Neurospora crassa OR74A: one gene and its partner. The protein of the gene in region 2 interacts with the protein of the main gene of each other region in a pairwise test. Links are inferred from orthologs where the notes say so. Each region holds a gene or a part of one and is shown on either strand. Other genes may lie near its edges.

The links.
Region 1: the proteins of NCU08888 (region 2) and NCU05095 interact in binary tests that used the Saccharomyces cerevisiae proteins (3 or more experiments, as listed by UniProt). The link is inferred for Neurospora crassa OR74A from reciprocal best matches to the Saccharomyces cerevisiae genes FRS1 and FRS2.

The regions. Positions count from the first base shown.
Region 1 is NC_026506.1:3,753,866-3,758,185, forward strand, and holds NCU05095 (phenylalanyl-tRNA synthetase subunit alpha), read right to left. Parts: upstream 2,997-4,320; 5' UTR 2,824-2,996; coding exon 1,500-2,823; intron 1,436-1,499; coding exon 1,357-1,435; intron 1,283-1,356; coding exon 1,132-1,282; 3' UTR 741-1,131; downstream 1-740.
Region 2 is NC_026505.1:759,685-764,008, reverse strand, and holds NCU08888 (phenylalanyl-tRNA synthetase subunit beta), read right to left. Parts: upstream 2,954-4,324; 5' UTR 2,684-2,953; coding exon 2,631-2,683; intron 2,516-2,630; coding exon 1,498-2,515; intron 1,436-1,497; coding exon 680-1,435; 3' UTR 510-679; downstream 1-509. Other genes in the region: NCU08889 (hypothetical protein), read right to left, coding at 4,114-4,324.

The DNA of each region.
Region 1 (4,320 bases), on a different chromosome or scaffold from region 2:
TTGCAGCCCATCGTGGGTGGGTCGCATTTGCTTGCACATGAGCAAGGGTTCGCTGCCCATAATCCATTCAGGCTTGCGCTTGCTGTTGTCCGTGCGTTTTCTCAGTTTTGTTCTCGGTGGAGGTCGTGCGCATTGATGATCGCTCAAGCCGCAGTCGCAACACAAAGACTCAGTAGCTAGTAGGCATTGAGGATGTAAAAACTTATGCCATCTTCATGCGCAAAATAGGGGTGTTTGTTTACTTTGACCATTTGCAACCTGCTTTGAGGTGCTTACAAGTTGAGCCCAGGAGGGAACGAAACCAAACCGAACCAAGCTGAACCGAGCCGGTCCGGTCCGGTCCGGTCCTGCTGATTCGGGCTCGGCGTGGGATTGGAATTGGGATTGGATTGCAACAGACTTGTTGAACTTGGATCTAGCAGTAGATGGATAGATAGATAGGTAGACACATAGTAACAGTAGTGTATAAGGTGGTAGGTCTAGAACGTGACGTCGAGACTTCGGTTGTTTGATTGAGTCCTTGAAAAGCTGGTGGGGCGAGGTGAAGCTGAGAAAGGCTGTTGTAGTGTACTGGTAGAGCCAGGCTCGCCGAGGGTACAAAAGCTGGTTCATTGAGTTGCGCTGATACATAGCACATGTAATACCCGGAAAAGTGTCCCCTTCTTTTTTTTAGAGGCGAGACAGGTTGCTAGGAGTTTTGAGGCTCTGGGGAGAAGGGGAAGGAAGGGGGGTTTTGCGAGGGGAACTAACCGAATGAGATGGGATTAAGAGGGATGGAGATGGGCTCGTTCGATGGCTGTCAATGCAATTCGGTAATTGACTTTGGTGTTGTCTTTGGTGTTGCTCAGAAGTCAGAGTTGGGACCTCCATCACCTTCTGCGTGTCCCAAGTGCCCCAACGGGTCAAATACCAGACTCCTAGTGCAAACTGCAAACTCCATAGTTTACCCGGCTACATCATCAAGGCCACAACATTAACAACGACATCACTTCTCCTTACTCCCCGCGAACCCAAAGATCCCAACCCTGAACATCAAACTCCATTTTATATTCGGTATCATCGTCTAGTAGGTACGCTTTCTTTCATTCATTACTTTTTTTTTGTTTTCGTTTTCGTCTTGGACCACATCTACTACTCCTGGCCAAGCAAAACAGCCGGGCTACCCTGGACAAACTCCAAATCCACCTTGTGACCCAGCAGCTCGCGAATGTTGGAGATGCCGTACTTGATCATGGTGGGGCGCTCGAGGGAGAGACCCCAGCCGAAGACGCGCATGTCCTTGCTGTGGGGGGTGTTAGTATGAGCTTGCGAGGATATGGAAAGTGAGAGGAACGAGAGAAGGGGAGATAAACGTACGGAAGACCCATAGACTCCAGCATTTCGGCGCGGAACATGCCGCTGTTTCCAATCTCGACGAGCTTGCCGAGGCCCTTGTCTGTTTTTGTGTATGTTTGTCAGCGTTTCGGTTTCTTCAACGACGGCGACATGGCGGCACTCACGGTAAGCGAAAATCTCCATTGAAGGCTCGGTATAAGGGTTGTAAGCGGGCTTGAACTGCAAATCATGCAGACCCATCTTGCCGAAGAAGATCTCCATGAACTCCATCAGACCACCGAGGGTCAGGCCATAGTCGGCAATGACACCCTCGACCTGGTGGAACTCGGCCAAATGTGTGGCATCGACGGTCTCGTTACGGAAGACACGATCGATGGAGAAGTAGCGGGCCGGGAGAGGCCTGCCGTCGGGGCCCTTGGTGGCGGCCAGCTTGTGCAGCATGTTTGCGCTGATGGCGGTGGTGTGTGTGCGCAGGACGAGGCGGAGCGACTCGTCGCCGGACCAGGGGTAGCGGTAGCCGATGGAGCCGTACTTGCCGTCCTGATGCACGGCCTTGACGTTGTCCCAGTAGGCCTGGTAGTCTTTTGTGTCGTCGGGCGAGTCGGCGCGCGGGAAGTCGGCGGCCTTGGGGTCGGAGATGTAGAAGGTGTCTTGGAGATCGCGGGCGGGGTGCTGCTGGGGCACGAAGAGGGCGTCGAAGTTCCAGAAGCCGGACTCGACGAACTTGTCGGTGGGCATCTCCTCGAAGCCCATCTCGAAGAAGATGTTGCGCAGCTCCTGGCGCACCTTGTTGAGCGGGTGCAGGGCGCCGCCGTTCTGGGTGGCGCCGAGGGCCTTGAAGTTGTAGGGCTTGAAGGTGGCCGTCTTCCAGGCGCCCGAGGCGATCATGTCGGCGGTCAGGTCGGTGGCCTCCTCGGGGATCCTGAGGGCGAACTTGGGGCCCTTGTGGATCTTGAAGGAGAAGATGTTTTGGGTGCGGATGAGCTTGCGCTTCTTGAGGTCGGCGAGGATCTTGGGGTCGGGGTGTGTCTTGGTCTGCTGGACCGTCTTGATCTGCTCCTGGGTGGTGTCGTTGATCTTGTCGGCGACGGCCGTGAACTTGCCGTCCTTGGTCTTGCTGATCCACTTCTCCTTGAAGGCCTTGCCCTGGCCGATCTTGACCACGTTCTTGTCGCCGATGGCCTCCTCCAGCTCCTTGACGGACAGGCCCTCGACAGCCTTGCGCAGGGCCTCGAAGACGCGGGCCTCGTGGGAGCCATTGGCGGCGATCTGTTCGGCTTCGGGTTCGAGGAGGGCTTCCTGGCGCTCGATGGTGTCGTATTTTACCATCTCGCGCGACGCCAGCCTGTCGAGGGCGGCCTTGAGGTCGACGAAGGTGGCGTTGGGGAAGGCATCGCTGGAGAGGAGGGGCTGCGACTTGTCGAGGGCAGCGAGGATGTCGGTCGCGAGGTCCTCGGAGGACGCGGTGGTGTTTGTTGGGGGCGCCATTATGTGTGGTTGTGTGTGTGTGTGTGTATGGGATCAAAACTGAAGCAACGGACTCGATCGGAGCGGCAAGCGGATCTTGGGGGGGCTTGGAGCTGACGGTTCAGTGGTCAAACTCCGGGGGTGTGCGGCGCCGTACTGGAGTCTCCGTCTGGCACAGGCATGGTGGGGCTTTGACTCACAATTTCCCAAATTCCAGACGCGGGCCGGCCCCGCGAATCGGACATGTGGGCCCCATCAATCCGTGAGTGCCCGTGTGCTTGGTTGGCCAATGACAGCCGGCGGAAAATCTTGGAGGCCGCAGAGTTAGCCATACACAACCCTAACCCGTGGTGGTGGTCTTGACCCCGCGCCATCTCCCTGAGGTGTCTCGTTGAACAAGGCATGTCATTGTCTCCCGTTTCCCGTCTCCCGTCTCCCCGCAGCTTCACCATTGCATCTCACCGCCAGCACTGCCGTTCTGAATGAAGGACTGATGCGAGGCTTCAACAATGTCCAATTGACTGGCTCATTGTCGATCCATCATCAATTATTATCTTTCATCTTTTTCTCTTCAACGCCCATATTGTATTGTTCCTCTGATCTCGTCCCGTTTGGCCTACCCGGTAGTTGGTTACCCGGCAGTTCTGGAGCTCTGACCCCGGACTGGTCATGTTGGTGCAGTGCCACCATCCCCGTCTGCTTGCCGCTCATCTTTTGCGCCCATCATTGCGCATTCCTCAATCAGCATATCAACGGGAAATTCGTTCATTCCAAATGTTGGTACAAGAGGCGACAGCTTGACGGATGTATCTCCAATCAGCGCGCTGTGTTGTCTTGGTTGTTGGCCAGCGCAACGCATGTCGGCTGGGCTCTTGAGCGCCAGTTCCGTGCAGTCCTTTCAACAAACGGCAGCTTTGGCTGCCCGGCTAGCTCAATCGGTAGAGCGTGAGACTCTTAATCTCAAGGTTGTGGGTTCGACCCCCACGTCGGGCTCAATTCCCGGCGTTCAAACACGCCTTTCTTTTTGCATTTTTTTTCTTTCTATGTCAACGTTGTGACCGCTGTCATTCATATCGTGGATTTTTTTTCTTTTTTTTTTTTTTTTTTTTTTTTTTTTTTTTTTTTTCATATAATGAAACTCCACCAATTAATGGCTTCAGGTCACTGTCAGGATTGCCGCTTGGTCCAAGCGTCAAGCGATGCTATTCCCACTGACACGAATATCAAGGACTGACTTTCCGTTCTTCGTTCCCTGTCGATGGCCTTCTTCCCCAGCCTGAGTGAGCATGGTGATGATTATTGGATATTGATGTCTGACAGGAGCCTCCCGCCTTGAAGTTCCCTCGACGTAGTATTTAAACCTGGACTGGCCATCCATTCTTCCTTTCTTCAACTAAGATGCCAGTCAAGCATTTCCCACGTCCTTATTCTCGACTCTTCAACATTCTCCTCACCAACTTGCCCCCATATGCCAAAACTTTGACAATGTTAATTGGCCGCGGCTAAACCAACACGATC
Region 2 (4,324 bases):
CTGGGAGACAAGATCTCGCAGCCATCACGCTTGAGCCGCGGAGACCATGCAGTCAGCTCAAAAGTAAGACAGGCCAAACATTGTTGCCGAACGAAATGCCAACCCAGGCTGGAGGAGTGCGAAAGCGATAGATCTTGGATGGCCTCAGGCAACGAGAAGATCCTTAGGGACCGGTGCCACGGCCGTGGTGGTTTACGGTCCCGTCGAAAAGTTAAATGAGCATGGCCAGGAAGACTTAAGTGTAGAGTCCATTAATATTGAACAAGGAGAATGAAAGAGGGTCGAGTTGTCGATGATGGTGGGTTGGAAGTCTATCTATCTGCCGCTTGGCAAGACGTCCTGAAGACAAGACGACGGGAAGTTATTCGCCCTGGAATACCTACCTATCTCTATGTTAAGTGTACATCGATGACTCCCCCCGGGTAGAACACGGGACGTGGTCCAGATACATCATCCATCACAGGGGGGCTGAACTTACCCAAGAACTTTGTCCATCGTATGGATGTTGGCCGACACAACGATACAGAGGAAAACTTAACGGAGAGGGCGGATCTGAACAAACAAACAGCTGAAAATCTTCTCTATTCTCCACAAGTACATGTAACCTTTTTCACTCTTTTTTTCTTGTCATCATCATCCTCGTAGATCAACCCTTTCGTTTCCCCCTCCTTTCACTCACTCAAAGGAAAACCTCCAGATTAACCTCCAACACACTAACCGGGTATCTCAAGTCAAACTTCTCCAGCACAGTCGGATGCAGCACACCAAACTCGCCAATCCTCCTGGTCTCGCCTCCCAAGCGCAGATAGATGGCCGCCGCCCTCCCCTGGAAGAAGGTGGGCTCGTCAATCTCCTTGATGAAATACCCGTTGCCCTTCTCCTCGCTCGGGTTTTCCGCAACCTTGTAGTCGATGCTCTTGCCATGGAGGTCCTCCTCATGCGTGACGAAGCTGACGCGCAGCATGGACAGGATCCTGTCCAGCAGGCCGTGGACCACTTCGAAACCCGAAGTCTTGCCGTAGAAAGCCGCGGCGAAGTGACGTTCGTTGCGCGCCTTGCGCTCCTTGGTCTCGTCCTTCAAGGCGATATCGGCCACCTCGGTGATCTTGAGCGGCAAACGTACCGACTTGTTCTCGCGCAGGGTCTTCAGCAGACCAGGCAAAAGGGAGGTGCGCACGACTTGGTATTCGACCGACTTGGGGTTGGCGAGCTTGACGGCGGTCTGGCCGTCGTCAACACGATTGAGCCACTCAAAGTTCTCCTCGTGCGAGCAGAGGATCAAGGGCATGACTTCGATCCAGCCGGCCATGGCGCATTCGTTGCGCACAATGTCGGACACCTTGTTGATCATGAGCGGCTTGCCGATGGTGGAGGCCTGGTTGGGGGAGGTGCGGGGGAGGTTGTTGTAGCCGTAAGCGATGGCGACGTCTTCCATCTGTAACAAACGAGTTAGGTACTGTAACAAATTTCAAGGAAGTAATTTGGGGGTGTACATACCACATCGCAGGCGTGCAACACATCGGCACGGGTAGGAGGCACAGAAACCTTGATGAGCTTGGCGTCCTCCTTATCGGGGACAGCAGTGTACGCCATCTTGCCGAGCAGCTTGCACAGCGACTCGGGCGACTCTTGAAGGCCGCAGCACTGGTTGAGGTAATCGACCTCGACGTCCATGACACGGGTGTGCAGGCTGGGGGTGACGCGGGTGGTGCCGTTGTGCTCGGACACGATCTTGACGGGCTCGATGGTGAAGGGCTCGTCGCAGTACTTGGAGAACATGGCGACCATGATGTTGCAGACAATGTCGAGCTTGGTCTGGTCGGTGGCGGTGATCTCGATGAAGACGTTCTTGGTGTCGAGCGTGATCTTGGAGTGGTCGCTGTTGATGATGGGCGGCAGCGAGCAGACGGTCTTGTTGGCGTCGAAGATGACGGGGTAGACGGGCTTGTCGCGGATGATGTGCAGGTAGCGGCCGAGGTGCTTGTCGGACTCGTAGAACTCCATCAGCTCTTGGCCGTTCATCTTCTTGGTCTGGTTGAGGGGGACAAAGTTGATGTCCTTGGGGGCGAGGGCCTCGTAGGTGAAGGGGCCCTGGATGGTGTCGAGATCGTGGGTGCCGATAGAGACGAGGGTTCTTTGCCTGGCCAGGTTCTGGTGAAGCTTGTCTTGCAGGCCGATGAAGGACTCGTATCTCTCCGGGGTGAACTTGAGGTTGCGCAGGATGGCGCCGGCGACGTAGGGGCGGACCTTTTCGGTCTCGGGGCTGACGGTGATCTTCTGCATCTTGTCCTCGGGGATGTCGAGCAACTTGAAGTTGGGGGTGGTCTGCTTGCCGCGGAAGATGTTCAGGTACATGGCGATGCCCTCGAAGCAGAGCATGTCGTAGCGGTTGGCGGGAATCTCGATGGCCAGCTCGGGGGCCTGGTCCTTGGGGCGCGTCTCATCCTCCTCGGTGTCCTTGTCGAGCTCGATACCGAACTCGAAGCAGAGCTGTTGGAAGGTGTCGGGAGTGAACCTGTGGTGGTTGGCGCAAAGCGTGTAAGTGATTTGTGTCCGTCCATAGAAGTAGTCAAAACACCATGGCGGGGTAACCGTGATAATTCAAAAAAGACCACCACAGGGAAACTTACTGCTCGCCAAGCTCCTCAAAGAGGCGATACTTGTCAACGTTAATGGTAGGCATGTTGGGCTGATTGGGGGAGTCGTCGGCGGTCGAGTCTTGGAAGAGGACTGGCGCAAGACGGAGACGGAGACGGAGACGGAGACGGAGGACGGGGAACTCCTCTGATCAATCAATCCACTTGGAACTTTTCCGAGACACCTGGGGCTATGTACTTACTGCAACGGCGGCGCCCGATTCGACTCAGTAGCGGCCGGACCGCGCGCCCCCAGTCGGGTCCCCCGTTCCCGGCAATGGATGACTCAAAATCCACGGCGGCAACGCTTCTGCCATTTGCCGCCGCCTGCTTGTTTCGGGAGCGATTGGGTCAACCCCACCACCCCCGCCAGAATTGTTACAGATACACCAACGCATAAACCCTAACCCTCTCTTCGTCCCATCTCTCCATCATCCCATCTTCCTCTTCCTCTTGTTGACACTCACCTTCATCTTTATTTCAGATCCCGTAAGCCAATCAGTAGGTTTTGTTTTGTGGTAAGGCACATTTCAAAGAGAATCCAGATGACTTTCGTCCCTGCCATCAAATCAAGTCTGAGGGACATATCCAACAGCGGTATTCGAGTTGTGCAGTATCAATAGCCCCGGTCACTTAGCTCGATATAATCACACATCTCGACACAAGGATGAACGGGAGTGGTCTTTTATATTTTATTCGTTCCCTTCCATTACCTCCAATTCCCCTCTGCACTCCCCGGAAGTGACACCCCCTTCCTCCCATCTTACTGCTTCATAGCTCATACATCATAATCTACACATATTCCCCGCAAGTCTGCCCGCGTGTGTGTGCGTGCGCCTCTTAGACAGTTGCCATTGTTGGCTGCGTTCCCTCCCTCCTGGTACATAACATGGTAGGCACTCAAGCGGCCGGATAAACAGGGACAAAACAGCAGATAACCACCCAATGTAAAGAAAACCTGTACAAGAGACACTGTATGACATGACGTGACACGACATGACCAATAAAGACAAAGGATGATGATGGGGAATGGTATACGCAAAAAGGGGTATTCAAGCTGACAAGAAAAACAGAAAATCCGACCCGAGGCTGCGCAGCAGCATTTCCAAAAAAAAAAAAAAAAAAAAAAAAAAAAAAGTGTTGAACGCTGACCTTCATCCAGAAAAGAAGAGAGAAAACATGACTGTGGTGAGTGTACATGGTGGTATGTAAGACCTGCCTGGCATATCGGCGATGGTATAAGCAAAACAAAAAGGGAGCCTCCAAAAGCAGTAGCGGCAAAGAGATTTCAAATGATCAACCCAGGAGGACAGAGAAAAGCAACAACTACAGCAAGCCGGACGAAACTTTCCAGAAGTGACCAGCCGTTGTCCAACAAGCACACGCATACACACACTCACACGAACCACGTTAGCTATGCGGCCCAAGGCGTTGAAGCCCATGCCTCTCGACTTACTCCGTCCCCGGAGTCAAAACATCAACGCATTTGCTGCGCCATAAAAGTCTTCGCCAACTCATCCCCTCCACTCTCTGCTGCTCCCATCCAGTGGATAGCCAAGCACATCAATGCCGGGTCGCTCCTGACATCGCCCATTCCCATTCCTGCAAATCTGGCGCTCTCATCCGAACTGCTTCCACCGGCACCTGATCTTCCACCACCGCCACCGTACTTGTCAATAACAGCTTGC